Linked DNA regions of Oryzias latipes. The protein of the gene in region 1 purifies or fractionates together with the protein of each later gene. This does not show direct contact. Links are inferred from orthologs where the notes say so. Each region holds a gene or a part of one and is shown on either strand. Other genes may lie near its edges.

The links.
Region 2: the proteins of protein argonaute-2 (region 1) and gemin4 purify together in Homo sapiens (affinity purification with western blotting; 4 studies listed by BioGRID and IntAct, with this or other methods). This does not show direct contact. The link is inferred for Oryzias latipes from reciprocal best matches to the Homo sapiens genes AGO2 and GEMIN4.

Annotation. Positions count from the first base shown.
Region 1 is NC_019869.2:10,700,023-10,707,602, reverse strand, and holds the start of protein argonaute-2, read right to left. Parts: upstream 4,891-7,580; 5' UTR 4,635-4,890; coding exon 4,616-4,634; intron 1,877-4,615; coding exon 1,696-1,876; intron 1,606-1,695; coding exon 1,485-1,605; intron 1,402-1,484; coding exon 1,220-1,401; intron 497-1,219; coding exon 360-496; intron 264-359; coding exon 129-263; intron 1-128. Other genes in the region: dlx5 (homeobox protein DLX-5), read left to right, coding at 7,208-7,580.
Region 2 is NC_019871.2:19,885,630-19,893,263, reverse strand, and holds the start of gemin4 (gem-associated protein 4), read right to left. Parts: upstream 4,886-7,634; 5' UTR 4,815-4,885; coding exon 4,727-4,814; exon of another isoform or gene 4,675-4,726; coding exon of another isoform or gene 4,665-4,674; intron 3,953-4,664; coding exon 1,973-3,952; intron 1,732-1,972; coding exon 1,575-1,731; intron 1,505-1,574; coding exon 1,234-1,504; intron 56-1,233; coding exon 1-55. Other genes in the region: tapasin-related protein, read left to right, coding at 5,165-5,210, 5,317-5,493, 5,564-5,839, 5,922-6,251. UniProt on the Homo sapiens protein: The SMN complex catalyzes the assembly of small nuclear ribonucleoproteins (snRNPs), the building blocks of the spliceosome, and thereby plays an important role in the splicing of cellular pre-mRNAs.

The sequences.
Region 1 (7,580 bases):
TGCTGATTATTTAAGTTTGTTTTAATAATGCTTTTTAGTTTATAACAAGAAAATAAGAAACGGATTAACTAATGAATTTAGCAAACATGAACTGAACGTTTTTTGGATTATAACTGAAGCTTTCTTACCTTTAATTTCTTTAGTAAATTTGACTCGTTGAGAGTCTGTTAAAGGCTTCTGTTGTTCTTCAATGCTCTTAAAATCCAAAACTTCACACATGAACTCGATTACAGGCTGAGCTTTGTAGAAAGCTGTGGCTGAAACTGCAAAAAAAAAATAAAGCAACCATACCGATGTAAGACAAACAGAAACAACTTTACTAAGCAGCTTTTGTCAAAGTGATATGATGCAGACTTTACCGTCGATGTTGAGCATCATTTTCCACAGGGAGGGCCTGACCGACTGATGGAAACCAAACCACACTTCTCTGCCACCTCCCAGAGGGTTTGAGCAAGCTTCTGAAGGAGTAAAGAAAGACCGCCCAACAGGGGTATACCTAAAAGACAACAGTCGGTGATAAGACGTCTGGTAAGGAGAGGTTTAAAGTCCCACTCTGATCATCTCCGTTTTCAAACGGTTCTGAACCAAGATGGAAACGGTTTCCTTTCAAAAGGCTTGTTGCATAGAACTGAAGTGCACCATGTGGCGCTCAGTGTGCCGTCACTGCTTCAGCAGCTCTTTGAGCACGGCTCTTTAAATTAGGATTGTGCCGTTTTCAGTTAAAATCAATAAACCTGTATGGTTTTCTAGGACAGTTTCTCCAGAGAAGCAGGAGTTGATTAGAAATGTGCCTCTCTGACGTGACTGGGACTATTGGCGTGGAGCAACCCCGCCTCCATTTTCCCTCCCGGTTGCTGAGAGCTCTCTGTTTTCAGGCTCTCCTGCCACCTGCTCCTCCCCCATTTGAGCTTACTATTATTTATACATTTTCTCAATCATCAGAAAATGTTAAAAACACCAGTTTCATCAGATTGGGTCTTGAACACAAACTCATGGCACATTATTTAAAAAAACTAAATTCAGATTTGATATATTCAGCTGACTTTCCTGTAGTGTGCTTGTGGCATCTTGTTTAATCCTAATCAAGAAGTGATAATCTTAACTAATTCCATGAGGAAACAGGCAGCGGCTGTGCACTGCTTAGGCATCATTTGGCCACATAAGAGAGCTAGACCAAAACAGGAAATGGCGATCCTTCCAACAACAATTAGAGACCTACCTCATAGAAGGCAAATGTCTCATGACCACATCCAAGGCTTGGATAGTCTCAAAGGGAACACTGGGAAGCCGCCCTGACAGAGCTTCGTGCAGAGCTTGCAGGCTAACGCAAGACACCCATTTGATGGCAACTTTAAAACTGCGGTCTTTGCCTTCGCCTGGAATAGTCACCTCCAGCTCCACCTACATGGTTCATACAAAATGCCACTGCTGAGACATTTTAACATTGAGAGGAAATCGTTTCAACTATAATGTAAACAACAAACCTTTTCTCTGCCTATGGGCAAAGCCATGGCAGTGTAGAGGTTCTTTCGCCCGTCGTACACCGGCTTCCGGTCCCCAAAGATCTGAGTTTTAAAGTGCTGGACCATGTGCTCCACAATTTCTCTGCAGACAAATTAGGCGAGTCAAGACAATCCCCATAAAATTACACACAATTCTGATGAGAGTTTAAAAAAAAGCAGACTTTGAACTCACCGATTCACCCTTCTGGGGCATTTTTCAGGTTTGATGTCTATGTCGTAATGGTAAACCTCCAATTTTGGGATTTCCATCTCAAAGAAATTGGCCTGGAGCTTGATTGTCCTGCCCATGGTGCCAAAGTCTGGCCGTGATGGCGGCTTGAACACATATTCTGGCACTGGGGAAGATGGGGGCTCTACAAAAAACAACAACAACAACAACAACAAAAAACGCAACAGTTGAAACAACATTATTACTACACACACAAAGTGAAAATGTGCTTTACGGCCCTGAGGTAAGTTTGCAAGAACCAGTTTGAAAGCAGGAACAAGCAACGGCTTGCATCTGCATGCATGTAAACATTTTGTGACCATAAGACTCCAGAGGAAATGGGAGCTTGACGTTGCATACCAAATCAAAAAACGGCCAACAACAGGTCAATCATAAACTTTAAAAGCTCTCGTACACCAGACAGTGTCACAAAAATATGTTAAATGCTCAAAAGAAACACAAAATAAATGCCTTTTAGAACATTTAGAAAAGAACACTGTCCTGTTTTTTTCCCGAGGTGGATTCTAGGAGTGTTGTCTAGTGCCGTGTTTTTCAACCAGTGTGCTGGGAAATTGCCCCCATTAACTGATCTAAAAACATTTCCCATCTCCAGGATATCAGCTCTGGGTTCATCCAGACAGGCCCTGATAAAACACTGAGTAGTTAGGAATATGAAAGATCATATAATACTTTTTTCTTTGTGTTTATTTAATTAAGACATTTTGATAAGAATAACGGTATCGCGATTTAGCTGCAGCTAAAGCTGTTTTAGGAAAAGTCCCGCCCCTTTAACTGTCTCCACCAATCATTCTTGGAGGCTCAATCACACGTCATCAGTCTGACCAATCAAAAGTGGTTAAAGGCTTCACTTCCTTGTTCCAATTCTGCTCATAAAGTTGCTCAGTTCTAACAAAAAATACCAGCTAAATCTCGTCTTTATCAGTGTAGCTTTCCACAGAATCCGGTATCAGACCGTGGAACAAGTGAGCAAAACTATGAAGCTCAGAGACGCTAGTCTGTCTGGGTTCGGCGGCTATTTGCACTACATCTCCCATGATCCATTGGGTTAAAGTGACAGCATCTCAGCGTACAATGAGTCTTACCTGTTACACGTCTTGAAAACCACAACGAACACACAAACAGTTTTTAAATCTTGTAACTTAACTTTTATTACATCTTTTAGAAGCTGCAACTTCCTGCTTTTTCTGCCACAATTATCATAAAAATGCATGTGAGATAGCGGAGGGGCTATAGATCAATACTGACTATGAGTTTCTCCTTTTTTTTTTGGATGCTGGTGTGCCGCGGGATTTTTGTCAAGGTTAACGTGTGCCGTGGCTCAAAAAAGCTTGAAAAACACTGGTCTAGTGATCAGTACCTGTAAAGTTATTATCAAAACAGGAGTATCTTGTATAGCCTTGCCTTTTTGGTGTCAATTTGACGCATTATGTTGTTAAACCCAAATCCCTAAACAGTTTTTGTAGGAGAAGCATTTGACTTTATTTATGGAGAGATAATACTTCAGTGCCTAAAGAAAACATTTGCAGTACGAACGTTCAAAACCCTATGAGATGTGAAAATGTCCCTTTTTAGAAACTGTACTTAATTAATGTCATGAACACCACTGCAAAAGTAACAATAATCATGTTTTGCAGTGAAATTCAAAAGAATTCACTTGGTTCATTTTAGGAGGTCTCACTTGCTTATCACTTTTACAGTACCACAGCCCATAATCAAGGAAGTCTTATCAACTTACACACAGAAGGTATTAAACAAGCTGGCAATCTCACACAACAGAAGACACCCAAACCCCTGTAAATAGCCCCCCACTGCAGCATTTTTTCCTAAAGTTTTAGCTTACCGCCAAAAACCTGTTCTATGAGCTTCGCTCATCTACCAGCTTGATAGGTTTTCCCCCCTCCTGACTATGTAAACAAAAAAAACATTTAGATATATTTGTTTTCTACATGAGAAAATTAATGATTAAAAAACAACCATTTAGCTTTGACAAATAGCTTTTATTCTGATAAGAACTCATTTATTTAGACGAGATCTACATTCTTTTCCTCATTCCTTCTCTCTCCAAACTACCAGAAGCACATGAACGACGATTGGTGACAAATTCTGAATCTTCTGCAGCATCTCTAAATATTTAAGTATTATTATAACAAATTGGGAGCTTAAAACTTAAAATATTACGATCCAGGAGGCTACTGGGTTTGTTAGAATCAAACACTTTGTAATACGTTTTAAATATTAAAATGTTAAATACAAACAATTATATATACTTGGTTCTAAACGGTTAATGAAATAAATTTGAACTTGATAAACACAAGATTGAGTGATCTGTTATTTTAACCTTCGATGGCAACGTTTTTGTTCAACAACGTCAGTGTCATTTCAGTTAAATAAAATAGTTATTTTTATATCTAAATTTACATCAAGTGTAATAAGTATAGTGTTAGATTGAGGAACAGATCATGGCGTGGCCACCCGTTATCACGTTAATTTTAATAGAGACGAATATAAATAGACATTTTTTTCTATTTATCACTACCCAAACAAACGTGTGCTTTGCTAAATGGTTGTTAAACTTAAAAAATATATATATTCACGAAGGTATTAGTAGAATTTTTGTGGGAAACCAAAGCGCCATGCAAGCTAACCCGGCTAGCAGTTGCTGTAATTTAGCTAAGCTCGTTGAGCGAGTGAGGATTCTTTGTCACAACATATGTGGGTATTTATTAACAATTTTTCAAATAAAACAAAACTGAATGGTTTTTCACTAACTGTTGTTGCCATGTGTTACAACAATGCAGAGAACGCGTCTGTTTTTGTCATTTTCTTAAGCCGCATCTTTTAGCCGATGCTAACGGTAGCTTACCTCCTCCAGCAGGATACATTTTGTCGACTTTTTGTAGCGTTTGTTGTGGACGTACAGATGCTCCACTTTACAAAGGCGGAGCTGTGGCCAAACTCATGCGTAGACAACAAGTATCTATGCGCCCAATAAAAAAATGAGAAAACTAAGGTAAAAAATAAAGCTTTTTAGTCAGCCCAGTGGTAAATATTTGGAGTCGCTCATCCTCGGCAGGACCCCATCCCCCTACCACACAAACGGGAGAAGCAGAGAGTAAACAGAAATCAGAAGCGCGGACCAAGAGAACTCCCTGCCGTGTACTTCCGCTTTAAGCCGCATTGGCCAGCTCAAACATGGGACATTCTTTGCTTTGGCTCTACAAAACGCACAATTAAACCTAATTCCAGGTTATGTAAATGTTATATGTTTAAAAATGTGTTTTACTGCGATCATTTCACATGAGGTAAATTTATCAAAATAAACGTAGCAAGGCAATGAAAAAAAGTCGACGAAGATTCTTTGATGCCTTTATATCCATAGATATGACTAATTACCGACAGTTAGTCTTTCTTTACAGACATAAAGAGTAAGAAAAAAAGATATAAAGAAAACAGAAACTTTTTATAGTAAGTTCAAAGAGTTAAAGTATGATCAGTAAATATCAGTAAACATATCTTAAAGTTATTTTTGGTGTTTTGTTATTTTTGTTTATTTATTTATACTAAAAACAATTATTTATTTAACTGAGTGAACGACTTCCAGTCATATTATGACCATGAATGAGTGAGAGTTATAACATTATCTGTGAAACTGCGATCGAAAGATTCATGTCGATTAAATTAGAGTATGTCGATCTTTAGTGACGTCAGAGGTCAATTCAAATTCTCTGCTTCAAAATTTCGATTTGTATTTGCAGTCTAAAGAACGACAAATTACCAAACATATGTCACTATTAACTTATTCTTTTTTTTTTTTATAAAAGCACAGAGGCTACATTTTGCTACAGGCAAAAAAAGAAGGAAAAAAGGGGGAATAAACCGGAAACAGATAAGTAAAGATGGGTAAGTATTTCCGGGGTATTTGTAGCTGATTTTTTTTTTTTACTACGAACATTTTTTTTCTTTGTTTTGTTTTTTCAAAGTTATTTATTTATATATAAACAAAGTTAGGGTAAGCACACGTTTTAAATGCGCATACAAGAAAACAACTAGAATAAAATCAAGATAATAAAATTACAAGAGTTTTGAAATATTTAGATAAATTTCTGTAATTTTCTTTTTTTTTGTTTCAAATGCATTTAGGACACTTAAAATAAACAGAAAAAAGAATTTAAAAAAGATACTAAACAAAGGGCTGTTTTCCCTTTACAGAAATAGACCTAACAATAACATTTTTGTTTGTAATATGAGGGTCTATGTACTACATGCCTTGCTTTTAACAAAAAGCTAAACCATTTGCTGGAATCACAATGTTGGCCTTGAACAGCTTAGTAAAAAGCAATTTTTTTTTTTTGGAATTGACGTTGAAGCAAAAATTTAAGAACATTACAATACAAATGCAGCTAAAATAAAATAGTATTGTATAAATTCAACAGGTCTCCTTTAACCCTGCAAAGCAATATATTTCTCCCATTTTTTTTGTTTCTTCATCTTGTATGTTTGTATATTGCGTTATTATAGCACCAGTACTTGCTGTGAGTGAAGGCCGCCCTCCCTCGGTGACTTGACGTTTGAGTTCGTGCTTCAGTAGATTATAAGGGTTACAACCGTGAGTGTATTTTACCCACGCACAGAAAAGAGAAGTCAGATGATGAGAAGGTTTTTTTGTTTTTGTTTTGTTAGTGATCAGTAGATTGCAGTACCCGGGTTTCTCCATTTGTGTGCGCTGTTCACCACTGAAAGGGGGTTAATGCCCGACCATAGATCTGCCTTATTCATTTTAACGTTAAGAATACATTTTTTTTGTTCAGCAAATTTATGTTTATTTGTTGAATAAATGGTTCGACTATATTAATTTTTCAGAAAATCTTCCGGGAAAATAATATTTAAGCAGTGAAACGTTTTTATTAAATAAAGACAAAGAAAACAAACATGTATTGTTTTTTTTAAGGATAAACAAAATGAAAAAATTCTAAATAAGTGCATTTGACTATGAATAAATGAACAGAATAATGTTTTGTTTGTTTAAATAACATGCATCAATAAAAGTCGGTTAACATAATCGGTTTTATCTTCTGCAGGAGCATTTTTGATAACCTCTGATGAATTTACAACACTTTAATTGCTCTGCTTGATTGAAAGAATTAAAATCATAACAATGTAGACCCGAACCCGTATGGTTTCCCCCTTCTTAAGGAAGCTGGCTGAGGACATTGGGTGTAGCTGTGTGTGCGCGCACCCTGGCCAATGGAACCAGATCCTCCCTGCAGTGCGTAAGAGCGCGATTTAGGATTTAACCAAGTCTTTGCTGCAGGGTTGGTTGCAGTCTTTAGCAGAGCCCGTCGGCCTGAGAGCCTCTTAGCACAATGACAGTGTAGTCTTGGAGAGTCCTGATTGCCTTTTTTTTATTAATTCAAAGAAAAAAAGAAGAAGAACTCACATTTTGCCTCACTTAAGCATGACCGGAGTTTTCGATCGGAGGATCCCGAGTGTGAAACCTGCAGATTTCCAGAGCTCTTTTCAACTCTCCGCCATGCATCATCCGTCTCAGGAATCTCCTACTCTACCCGAGTCCTCAGCCACGGATTCTGGCTATTACAGTCCAGCCGGTGGAGTCGCTCACGGCTACTGCTCCCCCAGCTCCACTTCATACGGGAAGTCTCTCAACGCTTATCAGTACCAGTACCCGGGTGTCAACGGATCTGCTGGAAATTACTCCACCAAGTCTTACAGTGATTACAGTTCGTACACGACCCCCGCGTACCACCAGTATGCCGGGACTTACAACAGAATACAACCCCAGCCAAGTCCACAAGGTGCGGGCCCGAACG
Region 2 (7,634 bases), on another chromosome or scaffold:
ACGCCAGAAGACCTGTGCCCTGTCCGTACGGAGGCAGGTCCAAACCGCACCACTCCTGTGGAGCAAAGACAGAAAAGCTGAGATTTTGATCAAATAATAACATCACACAAACACATTTAGGAGATCACCCCCCACTGTTTTCAGCTGTGACCTGACATAAAGTCCCATAGTTTTGACGCCTTCGGACAAACATCCAGCTCCAAAGACAAAACATGTTTTTTCATGGTTCACTTAAGGCCTTAAGCAGTGGACACACTTTTTCTACTGTTTACTAGCGCATGTCCGCCACCTACAATAGAGGCTTGGTGTAAAATGTTGAAGCAGTGCAAATATCGCTCAGGGCTTTTTCTTTCACAGCTCCAATCCGATATATCTATGAAAGACTTGGTGTCATAGTATTCCAGCCGACACAAACAACAATTATTCATTCCCCTCCATGATCAACTTTCAAACAGTTGCTACGTCCATGGCTTAAAGGGACGCCATCCATTCTTCACTACCAAATCCAAGTCCCTGATTGATCAAAGTTTGACACGGTTTCATTTTCAACGGCGTTCAATAACCTTGCACTTTGTACACAGAGCCTGAAAATGGTCGTACAAGTTTAAACGCGAGAGTTTTGAACACTGAAGCCAGAAGTGTGCCTTTCCATGCGTTTACATTGACTTTTTTTTGGAAGTGGTCATTTGAACGTGCACTGTTGAGGGCGGTCTGAATATATCTCGAGTCCCAACTGCCCTAATTCGTGGGCACGGGCTGTCTGCAGGTGAAAATGCTCAAACCTGTACGGGGCACACAGGTGGCCCACACAAAATATCCAGGTGGCAGACCGCTCTGTGAATCCAGAAAGAGAAAAAGTTCATGCACATTTTTCTACGGGCATGCTGCAGGCGACGGGTCGTAGTGAACACCGACAACACGTAAGGGTCAGTAAGGGTGAAGGAGTTGAGAAGCAGGCATGTTGTACAAATGAGTTTGAAGATGCAGCGGCGATGGATCAAACCCCCTATGGATGTACGTGTCTACAGCTTTGTTTATAAAAGAGTCTTGATTATGTTTTTTTTTATTTAAACAGCAAAACAGTCTTTTTTAGCAAGGATTCACTTGATGAAGGGATAACCCTTTTTAATCGAGACACCAACTTGTGTCGGTGGGTTTTTGGTTCTGTGTCCGTGTCCCACTTTAGGCCTTTGCCGTTCAATGGACTGGGACTTGGGCTGCAGGAGTTCTCACCTGCTCAGGCAGATCGCACACATCCAGCAGAGATGAGGGCACCTCGTTTTTAAAGTGCTGCCCCCACAACGGCTTCAGGTGGAACCGAACCGTCCAGTCCAACTCCTCCAGTTTGTTGTAGAGCCAGAAGAGGGCTCTGGACCAGCTACTGGGGGCGGCTGCCACTTCTGCACCCACCACTTGCCCCACTGTGGTCATCACAGACACCAGAAGCTCCTTGGTGTCCACAGAGCAGAGGCGGACGCCACCTTTTGGCGGTTCCTCCCAAAACCTGGCAGAAAGCAGACGAATTACAGGAGAACTCCAAGGAAGACTCAACGAAATCTTATCCCAACAAACACCTGAGGTTTTGGTCGTGGATCTGAGCGAGAACAAAAAGGAGGGGAAAAGGAGAACAGTCCATCAGCCAGTGAGAGCTGGAGGCTCCTGGCTGCACATCCAAGGACAAAGCTGTGTGAAGAAGCTGCAGACTCAACTCTGCATCCACAGAGGAGGAACCTGAGCAGATGTGGAGAACGGATGAAGAACATGTGACGTATTATGTAAAATGTTGAATTCTGATAAATCAAAGTGTACAAAAATAAAACGACTTAGTCATTAGAGGCTATAACAGATGAGGAGCTCATGAACGTTGCACCACTTCTAACAGTTCAAACTGATGATTCTGACACCAAATTTCAGAATAAAAGATTCTTAAGAGTCTTCTTCAAATGTCAGGAACATTGTAAAGGATCCTCACCTACAGATGAAAGGTTAGGGAGGACGAAGGTGTTTATAACCTCCTGAGGTGACAGGAAGCTTTGTTCCTTTCCCTCGTCCACGTTTGGACCCATCAGCAGACCGAGGAATTTGGCAAACTGTTCCTTCTCGTTGGCTGACAGGGACTTGTCCTTGACCGTCTGGTGTAGGCACCTGCAGAGCAGACTAGAGGTCCCGTCTTTAGCCGTGTTCTCCTCTCCGCTCCTCCTTCCATCTCCATCTCCTCCTCTCTGACCGCTGAGTCCAGGCAGATGCTGCAGGATCTTTGCCATCATCGAAAATGCTCCTTTATTGAAAACAGCTGAGTGGCAGCAGGACCGTAAGGCGCCTTCTGGGTTCTGAAAAGCCACTCTGGCTACGAGTGAGACGGCCGTGGTCAGGTTCCCTTGAGGAACAGCTGAGGACGCTCCACTTCCTGCTTGGATGATGCAGTTGAAGGCCATGTTGAGCTCCTGCTCAAACCCTCCAGCCACCTCAGGAGGAACGGGGAATTCGAAGAAGCCCTTCCTAGACAATCTTAACATGGACACCAAGGCTTTGTTCATGTCTTCTAAGGAAAGGCTGGAGAAGATATCTGCTATGATTTTCATCAGCTTTCTGCACTGGCTGACGTCTGCATTCTCCATGCGTAGTTTGTTCATTAGAGTAGAGGAGAGGCCGATCACGGCGTCATGCTGACGGAAGGAAGCTTGGCTCCTCTCCAGGCAATCCATCCAGCCTTCATCACAGTGCGTCCAGGGCGGCTCTCTGGCAAACAAGGCAGCGAAGCTCTCGTGGTCTTCCAGGCGGTGAGTGATGATGGTGGAGAGCACCTGAGCATGCACCTCAGGGCTGCTCTCTGTGACAGGAAGAACCAGAGACTTCAGCACAGCCACGAGCAGGTTCTTCTCTGTCGCTGCTGTGGGAGCTTCTTCCAGAGCAGTGGAGACTCTCTGGACACTTTGCTCCAGCTGGAAAGCAGAGTAGGAGGAGCGAGAGCCGTCCTGGACGTCCAAGAGTCCTCGGTCTTTCCAAGACTGACTAAGTTCTGCTATGACCCTCAGAGCTTCACCCAGATCCATCCTCCTGACTTTGAACTGAGACGGGGAAATCGAAGCCCGTAAATGTCTCTGAGCTTCTTCAACAAGTTCAGGTTGAAGTTTTTCATTCTTTCCTTTAGTACTGATGGCTTTACACAGGATGTCCATCTTCTCCTGAGCTGATAGAACAACTTCTCGGTCTATCAGAAATGATGTAAAAAGAGCATCAAGGGACATGGAGAGAGACTGGAAGCACAGGTCTAATGAGGAGACGTGATCTGCCATGTCTTTGAGGGCATTGAGGAGAATGTGGAAAACATCAGCCTCTGCTGAGTCTTGTGTCTCCAGCTTTAACCTCTTGGCAGCCTGAGGAGACAAACTAGAAGACATGGAGGTGAGACGAGCAACCTGCTTGGCAAACATCATCTCCATGCTCTCGTCGTTTCTGAGCTTGGCTTGCTCTTGGCCTTTCCACAGCTCCCGCCACATCTCTAGAAAGAAATGAACATCCTCTTCGCTTGTAGGCTCGCTCTTCACATGCTCTACCAGCCTCTTCAGCTCCAAGCAGATCAAATCTTCAGGAAGATGAAGGAGAAAACCTGCGTAAACATGTGAAGCAGCAGCGTTCTTCACCAACTCCAACAGGACAACATGGTTAACTTCAGGGAGGCTCTGCTGGAAGGAAAAAAAGGGGTTCTCCCTCCACGCTCTCTCAACATCCTCCTCAGCGCTCAAGAGCTTCAGCCACACAGCACAGACCACCTTCTTCGTCCAGGTCGAGCTGTGATGACCGTCAGCTTCCTCCAGTTCACAGACTTCCTGCAGAGCCTGTAGGATCGGGCGTCCCGCCGCGATCCAGTCGGATTTGTTCACGCAGGATAGAAATGAGGGGCGACACAGTTTGTCTGCCAGCAGGAAAGCCCCCTGCAGAACCGCAGAGCCTGAAATCACATGACATAATCAGAGCCCTGAAGTGCCAATCACATCATCATATCAATGTAAAGACATCTTAAAGATAACAACAACAAAAGCAATAAAATAACAAGAAAACGTTACATTTGATAAATCTAAACAAAATTAAAGCGGGGGGTGGGGTGGGGTGTCAAGTTTTCATTCAAATATGCAGTAAGAAACAAGAATTGCAAAAACAATTTTGTTTTTGCATTCCAGGACTGCTGTGTGATGTTTTAAAACAGTAATTTGTGGATGTGATTTGAACTTCAGGGCCACCGTATCCACAGATAAAAACACCAAAGCTTCTTCTCAACTTTCAGATATGATCTCCAATAAATAACTCAGTTTTCATGGACAGAGCCATATAGTTTTTATTGTGTTTAATGTGTGAGTGTTTGTGTGCGTTCGTCTTTATGTCAGGATCAGTGTAGATCTTGTTGTTATTCACCTTTTGCCAAATCCCTTCAGGGGATCCATATGTCATTCATTTTACCACACCAAACTCAGTTTCCCACAATTCAAAGCGGTTCACCGCGTGTGTAAATCGGTATGAATGCGTCGTGTGTTGGAAAAACAATTTAAATTAAAAAACATTGCTTTTCTTTATTAAATAATATTTTCTTTTGTAAGAATTTATTTTAACTTAAAGTCAGTGACTTAACTGGTCTACAGAGAGAGTAAAAATAAAAGCTATTTTACCTTTGTCCATTATCACCGTGATAATTGTTGCGTGCAGGTAAATACCAGTGTAATCCGTTTACCTGGAAACTCTCTAAACGCGCCGTTACGTTCACGGTTTCCGAAGTTTAAAGTTAGATTTCTGAAACAACATAATCCAACTAAAAACATCCACAGCAGAACTGCGCAGCCGCAAACACGCTTCCGCCATGCGACGCATATACCGGATGTTTGTTCACAGCGACGCACCCGGATAAATTCGGTACTGCAGTTTTAACGTTTTTCTTCGGAGCGAGATTTAAATATTTTACATCAGATTTAAACGTCATTTCATTTGTTATTGTGTTTATGAATATATATAAAAATGTTTTTTTTTTGTTATGGTTTTAATCTTGTAGGTCATGTGACGCGAGCTAAAGGCAAATCGTTTTTTTTCTGCAGAAGTGAAAATGAAAGTACTTTTTAGATCCTGGCTGCTGGTAGAAACAAGGTGAACCAAGAAATTCAATTGAATAATCAAAATGGGAGTATTTCAGAAAGTTGTTATTTACTTTTATGTGATTGGAGGTAAGTTATTTTAAAGTATGTTTGCAGCTGTTCTATCAGTTAGTTCATGAAAGGAACTAAATTTAAATGAAGGGTGTGTTTAATGTTAGTTTTTCTGTGTTCTCAGTTGTGAGGAGCGTTCAGCAGATACCATGGCTGTCATGTCAGTTCACTGACGAACATGTGTCCAACAACAGTGAAGGACACATTGAGACACAGCTCATTCCCAGAGAGGCTATGGTTCAGTTTGGTCTAAAAGGAGACGCTCCTGTCAATCCCCACGCCATCACCTTCCTGATCACTGGTGAGCTTCTGTCCAAGACACGAATCGGGGCAGGAAAGAATTACATTCATGACTTTTTATGTTGCTTTAGTTTCAAAACTGGACCTGCAGCGGTCCATTGAAGGGGTGGAGGTAGAGGAGTTGGAGTGTGAGGTCCGACGGTACAGCACAGAGGGCATCCATGTCCGCTGGCCCGCCCTGGGGGCAGAGGGGTACAACCGCTGGTACACCTGCATCCTCAGACACAGAAAGGACAAGTTCAGCGTCACTGCTTTCCTCAGACATCCGTCTGACCAACCTCCTCCAGGACAGCAGGACTACCGCAGCTGGCCGCCCATCGCCGACCGAGAGGTTCTTACCACCACAGGTAGGTGTCCCCTTCATCTGACGCTGCTTCTGCATGTCAGAACGAAGGCCTGTAAGAGGGTTCATCCTATTTGTGTCCATAGTCGCCATGTTGCTGAAAACAGAGACTCCATCTGTGAAAGTCAGACTACGCTCGCAGCCCAAACTCCACTGTCAGTTCAGCATCGACCACCGAGGCCCAAACGTCACCGTGGAGTGGCACTGGCAGTCCCGCGGAGAGAGAAGGATGCTCTTCCGCTACAACAGCCGCTCCGGGGAGATTCATGGCTCTGGAGTTGGGAAGAAGGCCCTGGCTGGGGGAGATGCCTCCTACACTCTCCCCTTCACCAAGATGAGCAGCGAAGGAAGCTACATTTGTTCTTTGACTGTGAACCCGCTTTTCGCCAACATGGAGCTCAACCTGCACGTCGAGGGTGAGGAGATGATCTAAAACCTGTAATCTGTCCTCTTCTTTTACCATCAGCGGTCGCACTGCTACAGTGTTGGTGATCCAGCTGAAAACATCTGTTCCTCTTCTTCAGCCTCTTAAGGCTAGAAGAAAACAGTGTTTGAGTTTATTTCTGGGATTTGTGTCACATCTGACTTTTGTTTTGTTTTGTTTTGTTTTACTGTTTTTTATGTGGGAAGTAAAAAAAAAAAAACACAAATGCTTCCAAATGTGACCTTTTCAGAAAAGGTCTGGAGTTGCTGTTATTGCATCATTTGCTGAGGGTTCTTATCTGTACTGAGTGTTTTGTTGCTGCTGGAAAAAGAAAAGCTTTTATTTTGAAAGAAAGTCTCTTAAACTTTCAACAATTCAAATTAAATTAACCCTTATTTAAAATTAGGAGTTGTATACGTGTGACCTGAGATGGGTAAAAACAAAAGAAACGTGTTCCCACGAAATCATTAATTTGTTCTGGGCCTGTGCAATAAATCGCAAATTTAGCGTTATCGCAATATCAAGCTGTGCAATATGCTTATCGCAAAAGACAGCAATAAGCGGTTACCTTAAATTTGCAAAAACAATCTTATGGCAGTTTGAACTATTTAGCGAATCAAATAAATCTATTTATGCATTTGACCAATCGGATGGAGCTCTTTCATGTTAGATATTTGCCTCCTTATGTAGACGAGGGTCATTTGGAGTATAATTTAAATTATGTTGACTCTTTCTTCCATTAAACTGTTGCAGTGTAATGGAAATTATGTTTTTGGTCGTTTTGCTATTTTCTTTCATGTTTCTCAAGTTATAGCGTCATCGCAATATTGATCGCTAATATCGCGAGTTTTACTCATATCATGCAGAAAAATAAAAACAAGAATCAAACTAGGGGATCTATATATTATTGTCTCGATGAAAATAAGAAAAATATCGAATATCGAAGGCCCGAGCTGACTTCTTCCCCCTACCACAGCGGCTCTCCGTCTGCCGGTGTAGGTACCATAAGCATTCGGCCTGCAACAACCGTTCGGGGTCCTTCGACTAGTGCTGACGTCACATTATGGGATTGGCTGTCCGTTGACGTATCGGATAATTAAAACTACAATAGAAGAAGATATTATGCGGTCCATTGTAAACAAACAGAGCTCTGACATGGAGTGAGATTATCTTCTAAATGTTCTTTTATTATTGTTAAGATTCTTATTAAGTGCATTTGCAGCCGAACGGACTGCGGTCCGAAGCCTTCTCCGGACCGAACACTATAACAAATCATATTCCCTGCCTGCGAACACGAAGCTACGAGACTCCAGTTGCTCCAATCAGAGATACGGTTCTCTAGCGTGGAACAGCAGGTTCATTCTAACAGCCACAG